Arabidopsis thaliana: one gene and its partners. The protein of the gene in region 3 interacts with the protein of the main gene of each other region in a pairwise test. Each region holds a gene or a part of one and is shown on either strand. Other genes may lie near its edges.

The links.
Region 1: the proteins of NF-YB13 (region 3) and AT5G19490 interact in a two-hybrid assay, tested with the Arabidopsis thaliana proteins (one large-scale study listed by BioGRID).
Region 2: the proteins of NF-YB13 (region 3) and AT3G50650 interact in a two-hybrid assay, tested with the Arabidopsis thaliana proteins (one large-scale study listed by BioGRID).

What each region holds. Positions count from the first base shown.
Region 1 is NC_003076.8:6,575,924-6,580,418, reverse strand, and holds AT5G19490 (Histone superfamily protein), read left to right. Parts: upstream 1-1,910; 5' UTR 1,911-2,145; coding exon 2,146-2,178; intron 2,179-2,526; coding exon 2,527-2,599; intron 2,600-2,702; coding exon 2,703-2,796; intron 2,797-2,881; coding exon 2,882-2,992; intron 2,993-3,094; coding exon 3,095-3,152; intron 3,153-3,224; coding exon 3,225-3,650; 3' UTR 3,651-3,909; downstream 3,910-4,495. Other genes in the region: AT5G19500 (Tryptophan/tyrosine permease), read right to left, coding at 1-16, 148-204, 288-377, 466-515, 602-676, 761-853, 956-996, 1,079-1,400; AT5G19485 (transferases/nucleotidyltransferase), read left to right, coding at 4,067-4,132, 4,207-4,302, 4,410-4,487.
Region 2 is NC_003074.8:18,806,422-18,810,916, reverse strand, and holds the start of AT3G50650 (GRAS family transcription factor), read left to right. Parts: upstream 1-2,673; 5' UTR 2,674-2,816; coding exon 2,817-4,445; 3' UTR 4,446-4,495. UniProt on the Arabidopsis thaliana protein: Probable transcription factor involved in plant development. Involved in environmental abiotic stress resistance. May increase the expression of stress-responsive genes. Binds DNA in vitro.
Region 3 is NC_003076.8:7,746,574-7,751,068, reverse strand, and holds NF-YB13 (nuclear factor Y, subunit B13), read right to left. Parts: upstream 2,040-4,495; 5' UTR 1,792-2,039; intron 1,728-1,791; exon of another isoform or gene 1,687-1,727; 5' UTR 1,679-1,686; coding exon 1,624-1,678; intron 1,470-1,623; coding exon 1,380-1,469; intron 1,294-1,379; coding exon 1,130-1,293; intron 1,037-1,129; coding exon 866-1,036; 3' UTR 457-865; downstream 1-456. Other genes in the region: TGH (SWAP (Suppressor-of-White-APricot)/surp domain-containing protein), read left to right, coding at 2,180-2,314, 2,963-3,053, 3,130-3,224, 3,441-3,544, 3,625-3,686, 3,809-3,877, 4,022-4,161, 4,390-4,465.

The DNA of each region.
Region 1 (4,495 bases), 1.2 Mb from region 3:
ACCGATGAATCGCTGGCTGCAACCACATGGAGGAAGGTATGATTAACTTGTCGGGTCTACCACTATTCCACTCTGGTTCTCCTTGTGTTTATACAGTTTCTGATTTAAATTGTGGCATCAGTGATTAGTTTAATATGGAGAGCTAACCTTCCAAAGAAGCAAAGGCCTCCGAAGATCAGTGAGAATAGAGTTGCACTCTCCCATCTACAGAACATTCTAGGGAATAAGTACAGAAGCACAACACTCAAAAGTGTCAGTGTAAATGAGGATCAATTGGAGTTTCATACATCGGAATGCCGAGGAAGTTGGTAAGGATGCCTGATGACCGAGCAATGTAAGCCACAAGAAGGGTGTAATGTATGAGAAGATAAGACCAACTACACAACAGAAAGGCTTGTTTCAAGTTTAAATGAAAGAAACAGTGATGGAAAGCAAGTTCTGAAGTGAGAATGAGAGGATGATTACGAAACAACTTGAACTCCAACAGACCCAAGAGTCCGCTTCGCCATTGAGACCTGCCAAAATATCATGTCAAAGCTGAGTTTAAAGACATAATAACTAAGCTAAGTTTTCATAGAAGTATTGGTTTGAGGGGATATACAAGAGATACGCCTCCAGAGCCTAGTTCACTCATGGTGTTGACATTTACTTCTGCAACCAGCAAACCTGTCACAACCTGAAGCCAACATGTATTACTAATGACCAATCCGTTACTTGCAAGAAACATAAAACAGAGATAAGAAGAATCATCCATCATCACCATGAAGGCCCAACAGAGAATGCAGGCGACTGCAGAGGCTAGAAAACCTGATTCTTGTGTCACAGCTGGAATCGCAAGTATCCCTGCACCTACCTAATCAAGAAAAGGATAAAAGTTTAGCAGAAAACAAACTTGATTCCTTGCATAGTTTCAACAAGAATATGGACAGAGTTATGAGAAAGTAGACACACTTACGGTAGTGCCAGCAACCAAGAAAATTGCACTGGACAAACTTCCTGAAAATTTCTAAAACTTAAAAACCAAAAATTTCTATCCAAATTTGGGTATTCACATGCAAAATGGTAACAGTCTTTGTACCGGATTCTCGCTTCAATGTTGATTGATTCAGGTTAGAGAAGAGCCTCTCAAATACGACAATCTTTTCTTCCTCATCTTCTTCTTCTTCTTCTGTTGTTACTTGTGTTTCTCTGCGTTCATCAGACACTCTCTGAGGCAAACACTTGAAGAATCTTGGGGTCTGAGTTCTTATGAATGGGTTTGATTTGAAACCAAAACAAGATGAGGAAATATGAGATCTTGGTAGATAAAAAGGGAGAGGTCCATTGAAACTAATGGGTTTCGTTGGAACTGAAAAGGTGGGTAATCTAAGAAGACAAGTGTAGCTTAGAGACACAGACATGTCTGTGTTTGTCTGATATCAGACACTAGCTATGAAAAGCCTATGATCAGTCTTCTGGTTTGTTTTCTGCGACTTCCGACAGTCAAAAGATTGTGTTAGAGAGAGCTTAGCTTCCAGATTAACATGTGTGGCTGTCTTATTTTTGAAGTTTTATTTCCCAATTAAATTTAAAATCTATGCATTTTATGCTTCTATTTTGCTTTTAGAAAATACTATTTGCATCAATGATACAAAAGTTGTATGCAAGTAAAAGAATAGCAATGCAAACATAAAGTATAATTTACAATTTACTCTATAAAAATAATTTTTATTTATTTTGAGTTTATGGTTTCTTAAGATATCATGTGATAAATCAAATTAAATGTTACATAATACATGCTGTCAAAATTAAATAATTGTTACATAAAACTTGTTAAATGAAAAGCAAAATAAAATATAAGATCTCATTATTAAATTAAAAAAGAGTGGGAGAAAAAAGGTCCAATTGCGTATGATTTGGGTCCGACAAGGACGGGTCAGAAAACAGAGACCAATTTCTAACTAGAAAAAAACAGATCCAAAGGAATTTATTTTTTTTCCTTTTCTTGTCGTGTTTGATGGAATCAATATATATATTTGTTAATTTGATTTTCTCTTGTTATTTATTCCAGAGAGAACGGAAGCAAGCAACACAAATTTCAAAATTAGGGTTTTTATCTTCTTCCCCTTGACTTTGGAAGCTGCTATTCCTCTGTAAAACAATAGCATGAAGAAGAAGCTCCAGACACGTTTTCCAGCGGTATGAAACATTACTTTTCACTGTTTTATAGTTTGTTATGTTCTTCTTCTTATGGAGATAACCATGAACTCTGTTTTGTGAGTTGTGAGAGTAGTTAGGTTCAACTTTTGCTATGATTTCAGGTTTACTTCTTCAGGGTTCCATGGTCCTTGTCTTCATTAGGTTTTTAAATTTATCTTTGTGAATGTATCTTTGGACTTGGAGGGCTCTTTTGTTCATGGCTAGATATAAATAAACTGCAGAGATATCTTGTTTAGGGCTAATCAAAGATGTTGATATCTACATAAGAAATTTCTTAGTGTCTGAGTCTGATTTTGTATGTGTTGATATGTTCAAAATTTGTTTCAGACAAGGATTAAGAAGATTATGCAAACTGATGAGGAAGTTGGCAAAATAGCAATGGCAGTCCCTCTTCTTGTTTGTAAGTGATGTGATGTTTTTGATTTTCTTACTCAAACGTTGTTCATATGTTAGCTTGTGTCACATGTAGTTGATCTGTTCTGGTTTTGAATTTAACTTTTCAGCTAAAGCTTTGGAGCTGTTTTTACAAGACTTGTGTAATCACACGTATGATGTAACTCTAAGCCGAGGTGCTAAAACTGTCAACGCCTTTCATTTGTAAGTGTGAATCTCATCTTTGGATTTTGCTTATATAAACCAATTGTTTTCTTGCTTCTTCAATACTTTTCTATTCTTTTTCCAGGAAGCAGTGTGTGCAAGCGACTAATGTCTTTGATTTTCTAAGAGACACTGTCGCTAAAGTTCCTGATTTGGGTGGCTCAGACACTGAAGACCAATCAGCTACCAAAAGAAGGTTAGGCCCGCTTCTTCTATAGTTCTATTCTATGTCAGCAATCAATCTACCTAATTTTGATATCGGTATCGTGTCTAACAACTTGTTTGTTCGACTTTTCAGGAAAGTTGTTGATGGAAGTAGTTGCAACGATGAAGATATGATAAAGACCACTCAAATGGTAACTAGCCAGACTTATTTTGCCAATAGACAATTGTATATTACTTAACGCATATGTTTCGCCTTGTTACAGCATGAGGTCAAACATACTAGCTGTGGCAGAGGAAGGCGAGGTAGAGGCCGCGGACGAAGTAGTGGAAGAACAGGAAGTGGGCTGTCTCTAAAATTTGAAGAAGATTTAGAAGACGGTTCTCCCGAAAGCAGCAGGACCCCGTCTCCCGAAAACGGGAGCCTTTCTCACGACGATACATCTTGGAAGAAAGTTGCATCACACAACAATCATCATAGTAGTAACTCAGAGGTAAAAGTAAGGAACTTCGATCTTAATGTTGAATTAGATGAGAATGGAGACAATGCTACATGGCTGGAAACACAGCTAGAGAGAAGTCCAGATTACCCGTTGGAGATTAACGAAATGAAAATAGATCCTGATGATCAACAACAGGCTAGTGCTAGTGACGAGGAAGATTATGATGAAGAAAGCATAGACCAAGAGTGAAAGAGTTTCAGTTTAGGTGAAATGACTTAAAACTAAAGGTAGGAGAAAGAAAACAACAACTTAGGAATTGACACACTTATATATTATAGAAGCAGTGTGTATGTAGGAGATTGCTCTCATTCTCTTTAATGTAATTTCGTTTTTTTCATTCATCTCTTCTAATTTGATAGCAAGCTTTACACAAACTATAAAATCATATACATAAAGTATGGTTTAATCTTTGTTAATGTTTAATTTTAATTAAAATATTTAAGTGAGATAGATAACCCAAGATTAATGGAACGACCCGTCGGATCCAAAAGAAAGAAACAAGCGGGTTAAATTGATATCGTCTTCGTCTACCGTTTCTCAAAATCAAAACCCCAGAAAGCAGAAACCTCTCTTCTTCGTCTTCTCTCGTCAATTCAGCTGCGACAATGGATTTCCAGGTCGTGATTCTAGCCGGCGGATTCTCTAGTTATCTTGTTCCCTTAGTCGCCAAGGTCCGTCTCTCTCTTTCACTCTCATCATCAGCATAACAGTTTCGACGAATTGCTAATTTGTTGTTGTTGTTCAGGAAGTTCCTAAGGCGTTGCTTCCCGTAGCGAATCGTCCGGTGTTGTCTTACGTTCTGGATCTTCTCGAGAGTAGTAATCTCAAGGATCTGATCGTCGTACGCCTTTTATCTTTTCAATACAATTACTGATTTCCTTTTGCGAGTTTCTAGGTTGAATGTTTTCAATAGAGCTCAGATTTTTTCGTTTCGCATTGGTGGAACAGGTTGTTGAAGGGGAAGATGCTGCTTTGAAAGTTGGTGGATGGATTTCTTCTGCTTGTGTTGATCGTTTACATGTTGAGGTATTTAC
Region 2 (4,495 bases), on a different chromosome or scaffold from region 3:
CAGTGCAGATAGACATATGGTTGATTAACACACTGTATTATCCATTTATTTACAGTGAAATAAAATATGATTAAATAAAACAAAAACAGAAGCCTCCAAATATTTGGAGGCTGATTACGCCAACTAGTCCCCGTGTTCCTCGATTAGGTCGGCCCATCATATTGTTGGATAATTACGGCCCATAAAGTTTTTACTTGATCTGAAATCATCCAAATGAGAAGATTTAGATAATTCATAAATTATATTGATGTTCAATTGTTCATCATACTGCTCTTTTGTTAACAACAATATGGCTTTGAATTTGATTGATTGTCTCTAATTTTGCAGATATTGGAAAGACGAAATGGTTCGATATTTTGAAGTATAGGTTTATTCACATGAACACCCTCGGTGATGAAATCGAGACTTACCAACCAAAAGCCCTTGTTTATTGATTTTCGTGGTTTGGCCCGCAAGTATTTTTTTTCTTTTCTGGTTAGCCGAATAATATTCAGAAAACGAGGAAAAGCATTGAGATTTTTTTGTTTTAACTAACTAAAATTTGGATGAGAAAGTGAGTTAGCTGGTCAATAAAAGGTACAAAAGTTTAGTGTTTGGACAGGCCACTTGTCATTTGAAAAGTCTCTTTCTGTTTTGTATGAGATAATCGTCACCAAATATATATTTTTCTTACTGACTTAATAATTTCTGTTTAACTGATTCAAATAGTAAATATATTTTGGTTAATTAAAGGTTCAAACGAAAATAAGTGTAAAAAGCTAAGGAGGAGACAAAAATAGGTAAATTTTAGTTGGTAAGAGTTGAAACTAAAAATTAGTATTTAAAAAAAAAAGCAAAGAATGTGACAAAAATGGTAAATATATAGAGAGACTTTCTTGGGGATGACTCAATGCCACTCTTTGTTCATACATAAGAAACCCCACCGATGACTTGGATAGAAAGAAAAGACAAATCAAACCCTTTCATTCTTACTCATGTCCTTTTCATACACCACTCATTCTCTCTCTCTCTCTATCTATTTTCTCCAAGTCCACTTGCAGATAGGTGCAATGGTTAAACACTAAAGTGGGATTGCCATTTTCAAAGACAAGTCCTTTTCAAAAATATCATCTTCTTCATTCTCCTTGTTGAAATCATTACCAATTTAGAACAGTCCATGGCACTTTGTAGTAAAAAATGTCAAAAGTGAAAATCAAAAGTAGACTTGGGCCAGGGACCATATACCATGTTTAGTAATGTAATTTAGATATTTAAGTTATAAGTAGTGGAGAAGTAGGCCTTTTGACGCGGATACAACGATGAAATGAAAAGAGTGATGTCTCAAAGAGTCAAGTGTCGTTCCCATGTGCTTTTTGTTCGCTATTGCTCTTTTCTATTTCATTCGCTTTAGGTTTTTAGAAATTGCAAAGTCACAAAGAGCTTCCACACTCAAACCTCAAATAAGCAAATTCTCGAACTATGCGTCGTGTATGAATGATAATTCATAAAACTTGGTTTGTTATTGAAAGACTTTTAAATTCTATAATCCTCTTTGGACTCTTTTCTTGTTTCTTCTTTGCTTGTGTTTTTTTTTTGGTATTTTTGTGTAATTTTTAGCTTTTGGCTAATGGCTACTACATTTTCTTCGTCAAAGTTCGTCCACCAACAACAGATACTAGTAGAGCCCGCCACAAATCGCTTTTGCTCCATTGTATATGGGCCTACTTACGGACCCACAAGCCGTCCTCCACAACACTAACGTTGAGATAAAAAAGACATGCGTATACAAATAAAACATGTCTATTGTTTAATTTTTGCTTGCTCAAGTCATATTCAAGATGTTAGCTTAACTTGTCGAAAGGTTTTTTTACAAAAGTAACTGAAACTAAACCAATGAAGTCACTGAAATTTGTTAACCAAAGTCCAATTTAACGACCCTTTTAGTTGATAAGAAACAGCTTTGAAAAACCTTGACCTTTGCGGCTTGAAAGCAGAAGATAATAACCTAATTCTTTTTACTTTTCTTACATCAATCTTTTTACCTTTATAATACTGTTAGTTAAAATGAAAAAAGACAGAAAAGTTGCAGGCGACATGCAGGTGACAAGTAGCAGAAGACAGTTGTCGACGTGTCACATTCACCATTTCAGCCAAAGCCATTGATCTGATTCTAGACGGTGGAGATGAGGTCACACTCTTCGATACGTAACTGCCGATACATGACGTCATCGTGTCTGTGGGTCCCATAAGTGAGATATCGTTTTACTCTCTCTTTTTTTTCATAACGTCAACTCTTTTTTTTACCCATATTAACAGAGTGGTAATAATTATTTAACAAAAAAAAACCTATGTATTTTTTATTTTTTGGTCAAAAGGTTTCTGAATAAATTTGTAAGATTATACGAAACTACAAATTCATGAGATATAGAAATTATTCAATTGATATTTTGATAAATTACATTTCTATTATTAAATTCTTGAAAATAATTAAATACAAAACTGAGTTTTTTAGTAAACTATGTTAGTTAGTTTCTTCATTTTTTGTTGTTGTTGTTGGTTTTATAGTTTCTTCATTTCTTGCAGTTAATAACGTAATTTTGTACTTTTAAACTAAAGTGGTAATTGATTAAAAATACAGTACTCGAAAATGATAAATCGGATGACAAAAAAAAAGAAAATGATAAATCAAAATGAAAATACTCACTTTCTTACTTTTTTCTTCCTACTAAAATCTCTCCGGTTTCATTCATATCCCTCTCTCTCTCTGGGCCTTACTCAATCACCACCAAATAACAGACAAAAAAACGCCTTCATCGCCGGCGAAAGTGAGTCGGAGAATGGCGTATATGTGCACCGACAGCGGAAACTTAATGGCTATAGCACAACAACTCATCAAACAGAAGCAGCAACAACAATCACAACATCAACAACAAGAAGAACAAGAACAAGAACCCAACCCCTGGCCCAATCCATCCTTCGGGTTTACTCTTCCCGGTTCGGGTTTCTCCGACCCGTTTCAAGTAACCAACGACCCAGGTTTTCACTTTCCACACCTGGAGCATCATCAAAACGCAGCCGTCGCTTCCGAGGAGTTTGACTCCGACGAGTGGATGGAGAGTTTGATCAACGGTGGAGATGCGTCACAAACCAATCCAGACTTCCCAATCTACGGCCATGATCCATTCGTCTCATTCCCGAGTCGACTCAGTGCTCCTTCATATCTCAACCGAGTCAACAAAGATGACTCAGCGAGTCAACAACTCCCTCCGCCACCAGCTTCCACCGCTATATGGTCTCCATCTCCGCCATCACCACAACATCCTCCTCCTCCCCCGCCGCAGCCGGATTTTGATCTAAACCAGCCGATTTTTAAAGCTATCCACGATTATGCACGTAAACCGGAAACTAAACCGGACACACTAATTCGGATCAAAGAATCCGTGTCCGAATCAGGCGACCCGATACAACGAGTCGGGTATTACTTCGCAGAAGCTCTGTCTCATAAAGAAACAGAGTCTCCGTCGTCATCGTCGTCGTCATCCCTAGAAGATTTCATTCTCTCATACAAAACCTTAAACGACGCATGTCCATATTCAAAGTTCGCTCATTTAACAGCGAATCAAGCAATTCTCGAAGCTACGAATCAATCAAACAACATTCACATAGTCGATTTCGGGATTTTTCAAGGTATTCAATGGTCTGCTCTGTTACAAGCTTTAGCGACCCGTTCTTCTGGTAAACCCACCCGGATCCGGATTTCGGGTATACCCGCTCCGTCTCTAGGAGACTCACCGGGACCGTCTCTGATCGCTACGGGAAACCGTCTCCGTGATTTCGCGGCGATTTTGGATCTCAATTTCGAGTTTTATCCGGTTCTGACTCCGATTCAATTACTAAACGGGTCAAGTTTTCGGGTTGACCCGGATGAGGTTTTGGTTGTGAATTTTATGCTTGAGCTTTATAAGCTTCTAGATGAAACAGCGACGACTGTTGGTACGGCGCTCCGGTTAGCTAGATCGTTAAACCCGAGGATTGTGACGCTTGGAGAATACGAAGTCAGTTTAAACCGGGTTGAATTTGCTAACCGGGTTAAGAACTCTCTCCGGTTTTATTCCGCGGTTTTTGAATCGCTTGAACCGAATTTGGATCGAGATTCGAAAGAAAGGCTGAGAGTGGAGAGAGTGTTGTTCGGTAGGAGGATTATGGATTTGGTCCGATCAGATGATGATAATAATAAACCGGGAACCCGGTTTGGGTTAATGGAGGAGAAAGAACAATGGAGAGTGTTGATGGAGAAAGCTGGATTTGAGCCGGTTAAACCGAGTAATTACGCGGTTAGCCAAGCGAAGCTGCTACTATGGAACTACAATTATAGTACATTGTATTCACTTGTTGAATCGGAGCCAGGTTTCATCTCCTTGGCTTGGAACAATGTGCCTCTCCTCACCGTTTCCTCTTGGCGTTGACTACTTGGTCCGATAAGTTAATCTAGTATTTTGAGTTAGCTTTTAGAATT
Region 3 (4,495 bases):
GAACCATTTGTCTTTTGCTTTGTAAGGAACTATATATTTAATGAACAAATCAGTTATTTAGTACGAACAGATTAAAATTTGAGACTGGGAAAACTAGAGTCTATTAAATAATTTCATCAGTTTATGTTTTTTCTACTAATGACAAAGACAAAACATACAAACCAAGTCAGTTTTCCGGTTATCAATTAACCGAAGTATTTCTTCTAACTGGTTACCGAAAAGAAATTCAATTTGGTTTGGTTTTGGTTCCTTCTTTATTTTCTAAAATCGGTTCGTAATCATTTGCGAAACCCGATCAAATTTTGGTAAAAAACGGTCTAATAATGGTATAATCCGTTCTTTAAGAAACAAATAACTATCTGAGAAACCAATGTCGAACCGAACCGAAATTCGCAGGTTACTGAAGGCAAATTGAAAGTACGCCAATCGGTTCAGCCTAGAGAACCAAAACCTAGCCGAAAACCAAAAATCTATGTTTGGCTCAGTACAGTATTCTCGGTTCGCGTCAGAATCACAGGGCAAATGTTAACAACACTAAACAATGATTGCATTGTGTTTATGGAAAAACAATTACACCAATCACCAAATTTATCCAATCTACAAACATTAAGATTCCTGTAAGTCATCGAATCAGATGCTTTGTGTAGACCTGACCCACCATGCTTAGTCAAGACACAAGTAAACACAAAACAAGGAATGCTTACTAATTACATCTGAATCACAAGTGTTTTTAGATCGTGAAACACTAACTAACATATATCATACTAAGAGCATATAAACAGAGAACATACGCATTTGCAACTTACAAGGGAATGTTAAAAGGATGTTGTTTTTTCTTGCCTAACACTTACCCTTACGGTTTCAGTTAGCTTTGCGGACTTCTCTGGTCAGTTTCTGGATGTTCAGGTTGAGGAACCGAAACACCTCCATTCATTCTTGCACGTGCTTCTGCAAACATACGTTGTTGCTCAGCTGCTGCTTCCTCCTCAGTCATTTGAGCTCCAGGGTTCCATTTCACGCTCCTCTGTGTGTCCTGCTATAGAGTCACAAATGTAGGAAACGGTTAACATTAATCGTTTTTTCGTCTCCTCGTTATCAAGAGTAGGAGAAGAAAGTAGAGAATCATTACCATTGTTTCATACTTATGTTGCTCATACGCAGCATAGACTTCTTCAATGTATTCTCCAAAACCAAGAACCTGTAATGCCTTGAGAACATGCTCAGGAGCAATCGTCCGTTTATCCTCTTTGTTACAAACATCATTAGATTCTGAAGATACAAGATTTATAAACTCTGCAAAAAATGTTTTAAACCACAGTAAGAAAACCAAGAACTCTCACATATATAGATGAACTCAGAGAGAAACTATATGATCTTACCTACACAACATTCAATGAGAAGATCTTGAGCATCTCTTGCAACACGAACATCTGGTGGTAACATCTCCTTTATAATTTTAGTCATCGTAGCTAAAACAATAGAGAACAACAAAACATATTCTTAGCAAGATAATAAAAAAATGAAGTTTATGATGCTCATGAATCCTATAACCTTCAAGCAGAGTTATATATAGCTAGGTTTACAAATCCTCCTATTTAATGATCAATGAGCAATAACACTAACCTTTTGGAAGAGAAGCGTCTTCCTTGGATTTGCCGACTATATCCATTGGATCCATAGTTTAATCTACAGAATTCATCAGGTTAAAGGTGCTTGTACACGAAGATCTGCATAAAGAGCAAATCAAGGGGAGATCGGAAAAAAACGAGAAGATAGAGATAATCGACTCACCGTAACTGAGTCAACACGAACCAAATCGGAAAGTAGACGAGTCGCGGTGAGATCTGGCGCCGGGAAATCGATCGGATTGTACGGAATATAATCGGAGGGATTTTCTCTCTCCTTCGTCTTCTCTAGCAGAGTCGTTTAGGGCAAACGGAAGAAGCAAAGCGCGTGAATCACACTTTCTTTTACAACGCTTAGAGACGGCGCGTGAAGATAACTTTAACTTCCTTATAGCAATTGGATTTTAAAACAAAACTAATGGGCCGAAAAGAGACCCGAACCAGGCCCAGATATCTCCTCCATAATTCTCTGATTCTGCTTCTTCTTCTTCTCTCTGGGACTCGTTCAGAATCTCGAATTGCTGCTGCTCCTCTCGGTCTCGGTGGTGAAGACAATGGGGTCAGACGAGGAAGATTTCGTGTTTCATGGAACGCCAATAGAGCGCGAAGAAGAAATCGCAAGCCGGAAGAAGAAAGCAGTCGCTGGGGCTTCTGGCAATCTTAGAACTCTCCCTGCTTGGAAGCAAGAGGTGAGTTTTTCTTTGATCTTCTAGTTCGTCTATTTAGTTGCAGATGATTAGATAATTTGAGCTTCGAGAGACTCGCTTTGGCCATGAACATGGGAGTTTTTTCGTTGTGCTTGTTTTCGTGATTCTAACGTATTGTAGAGAGCTTAATAGGTTTTATGTCGAGTAAGGTAAGGGATAACTTTGAGGCATTCCCGTTTCAGCTTAATCAGCTTGAAAATTTGTGAGTATCCCGGAATGAAATTAACCTTAAGCAAGAAAATCGAAGTGAATGTCTCTACTGGAGCTGATTTAATACTCAAAATCATGCTAGACAGTTAGATTCTGAGTTTTTGTTATTTGCTGTGTTTGTTTTTGCTTATTAATGTATCTATGGATAGTTATTAGATTGATTATCTGCATTTAGGTGTTTGCCTTGTAGGCATTTTGAAATATGTATTTATGTATGTGGCATCTTCCTTGGTCTCTAATTGCAAACTAATTGAAGCAATCTGTGATGAAAATTTGTGTCCTTACTAATGGATGCATGATATTGCAAGAATTCGTTGTCCAGCTTTCCACTATGAGTTTTTACTGGAAATAAAGTCTATCTGTATATAGTTGTACTATTATGTGGAAAGTTGCTAACATCTCGAGTTTTACCATACTCAGGTGACTGATGAAGAAGGCCGTAGAAGGTTCCATGGAGCATTTACTGGTGGATATTCTGCTGGGTATTACAATACAGTTGGATCAAAAGAGGGTAAAGTTTACATTACCTGATTTTCAAAGGCTTTTTTATCTGTGCTATGCTGTTTACAATCTAAATCGTACTTCAGGCTGGGCTCCACAGTCATTTACATCATCAAGGCAGAACAGAGCTGGAGCGAGAAAGCAAAGTATTTCAGACTTTCTAGATGAAGATGAAAAGGCGGTATGTTTCATCTTTTTCTCCTTGTTAGATCTGTTAAAGCTTTATTTCGAGTTATTTTAAGCTTGTCAAAGTTTGATTACCGCATATTGCATGATTCTTCTGTTACTTTTATCAATGGTAAAATGGAGTGTGGATTTGGGAATTATATTTTGCTCTGTGGAAGATGTGCACCATATTTAACGATGTTACACCATTCTAAATCCTTTTCCATTTTAGGATATGGAGGGCAAATCACTGTCTGCGAGCTCACAATTTGACACATTTGGGTTTACGGCAGCCGAACATTCCCGCAAGCATGCTGAGAAAGAACAGCATGAGAGGTCTGTGTACTTATCTGTAGTCTGTTTTTTATAAGAAGTTGCTATCTATATATTTGTAACATATTGTTTCTGTATCACAGGCCATCAGCCATTCCTGGCCCTGTTCCTGACGAACTTGTTGCTCCAGTTTCAGAGTCAATTGGTTAGTTTCAATAAGCCTCTTTAATATTTTGCAAAAGTTCCTTTTCTTTCGTTTTCTTTATTTTCGAATGCATCAAGTGGAGAAATCCTGATCTCACATTTATGCTTCTTTATATTTTTCAGGGGTCAAACTTTTGCTAAAGATGGGATGGCGGCGTGGTCATTCAATAAAGGAAGTGCGTGCCAGTTCAGGTTTGAACTTGTTTAACATGCACTAATCCATAATCTTCTTTTGTGCACCAAGAAAAGCCGTCAATACTTTTTCTATTTTGGAAATTCACAGCAAGCTCTTTATTTCGTCTCTCTCTCTCTCTCTTTTATACCTTGTTGGTGCAGATGCTCGTAGAGAAGCTAGAAAAGCATTCTTAGCCTTCTATACTGATGAGAATACAAAGGAAACGCCCGACTCGCTTGTTTCTGAGACTGAAGTGGAAACTTCTCTGGGTGAAGATATTAAAATTTCTGAAAGCACTCCTGTGAGTCAATTTTCCTGTTTCTCTTTTCAAACGAGCTATATGTTGTTGATTGTAATCGCTACTGGTGTGATACTTCTATTAGTCATACTTTTCTTGAACTTCTCTTCTACTTTTTATTAACGTCGGACTGTGAATACTGCTTCTAATCTGCTGCTGAGCTTCTTCAGATATTACCCTTAGTTACATTGATTTTGATGATATCCTTTGTTCCCCCTTTATCGATTGCAGGTATATGTTCTGAATCCAAAGCAAGATCTGCATGGATTAGGATATGATCCTTTTAAGCATGCTCCTGAATTTAGAGGTACCTAGTTTGGACTTTTTATGATGTTTC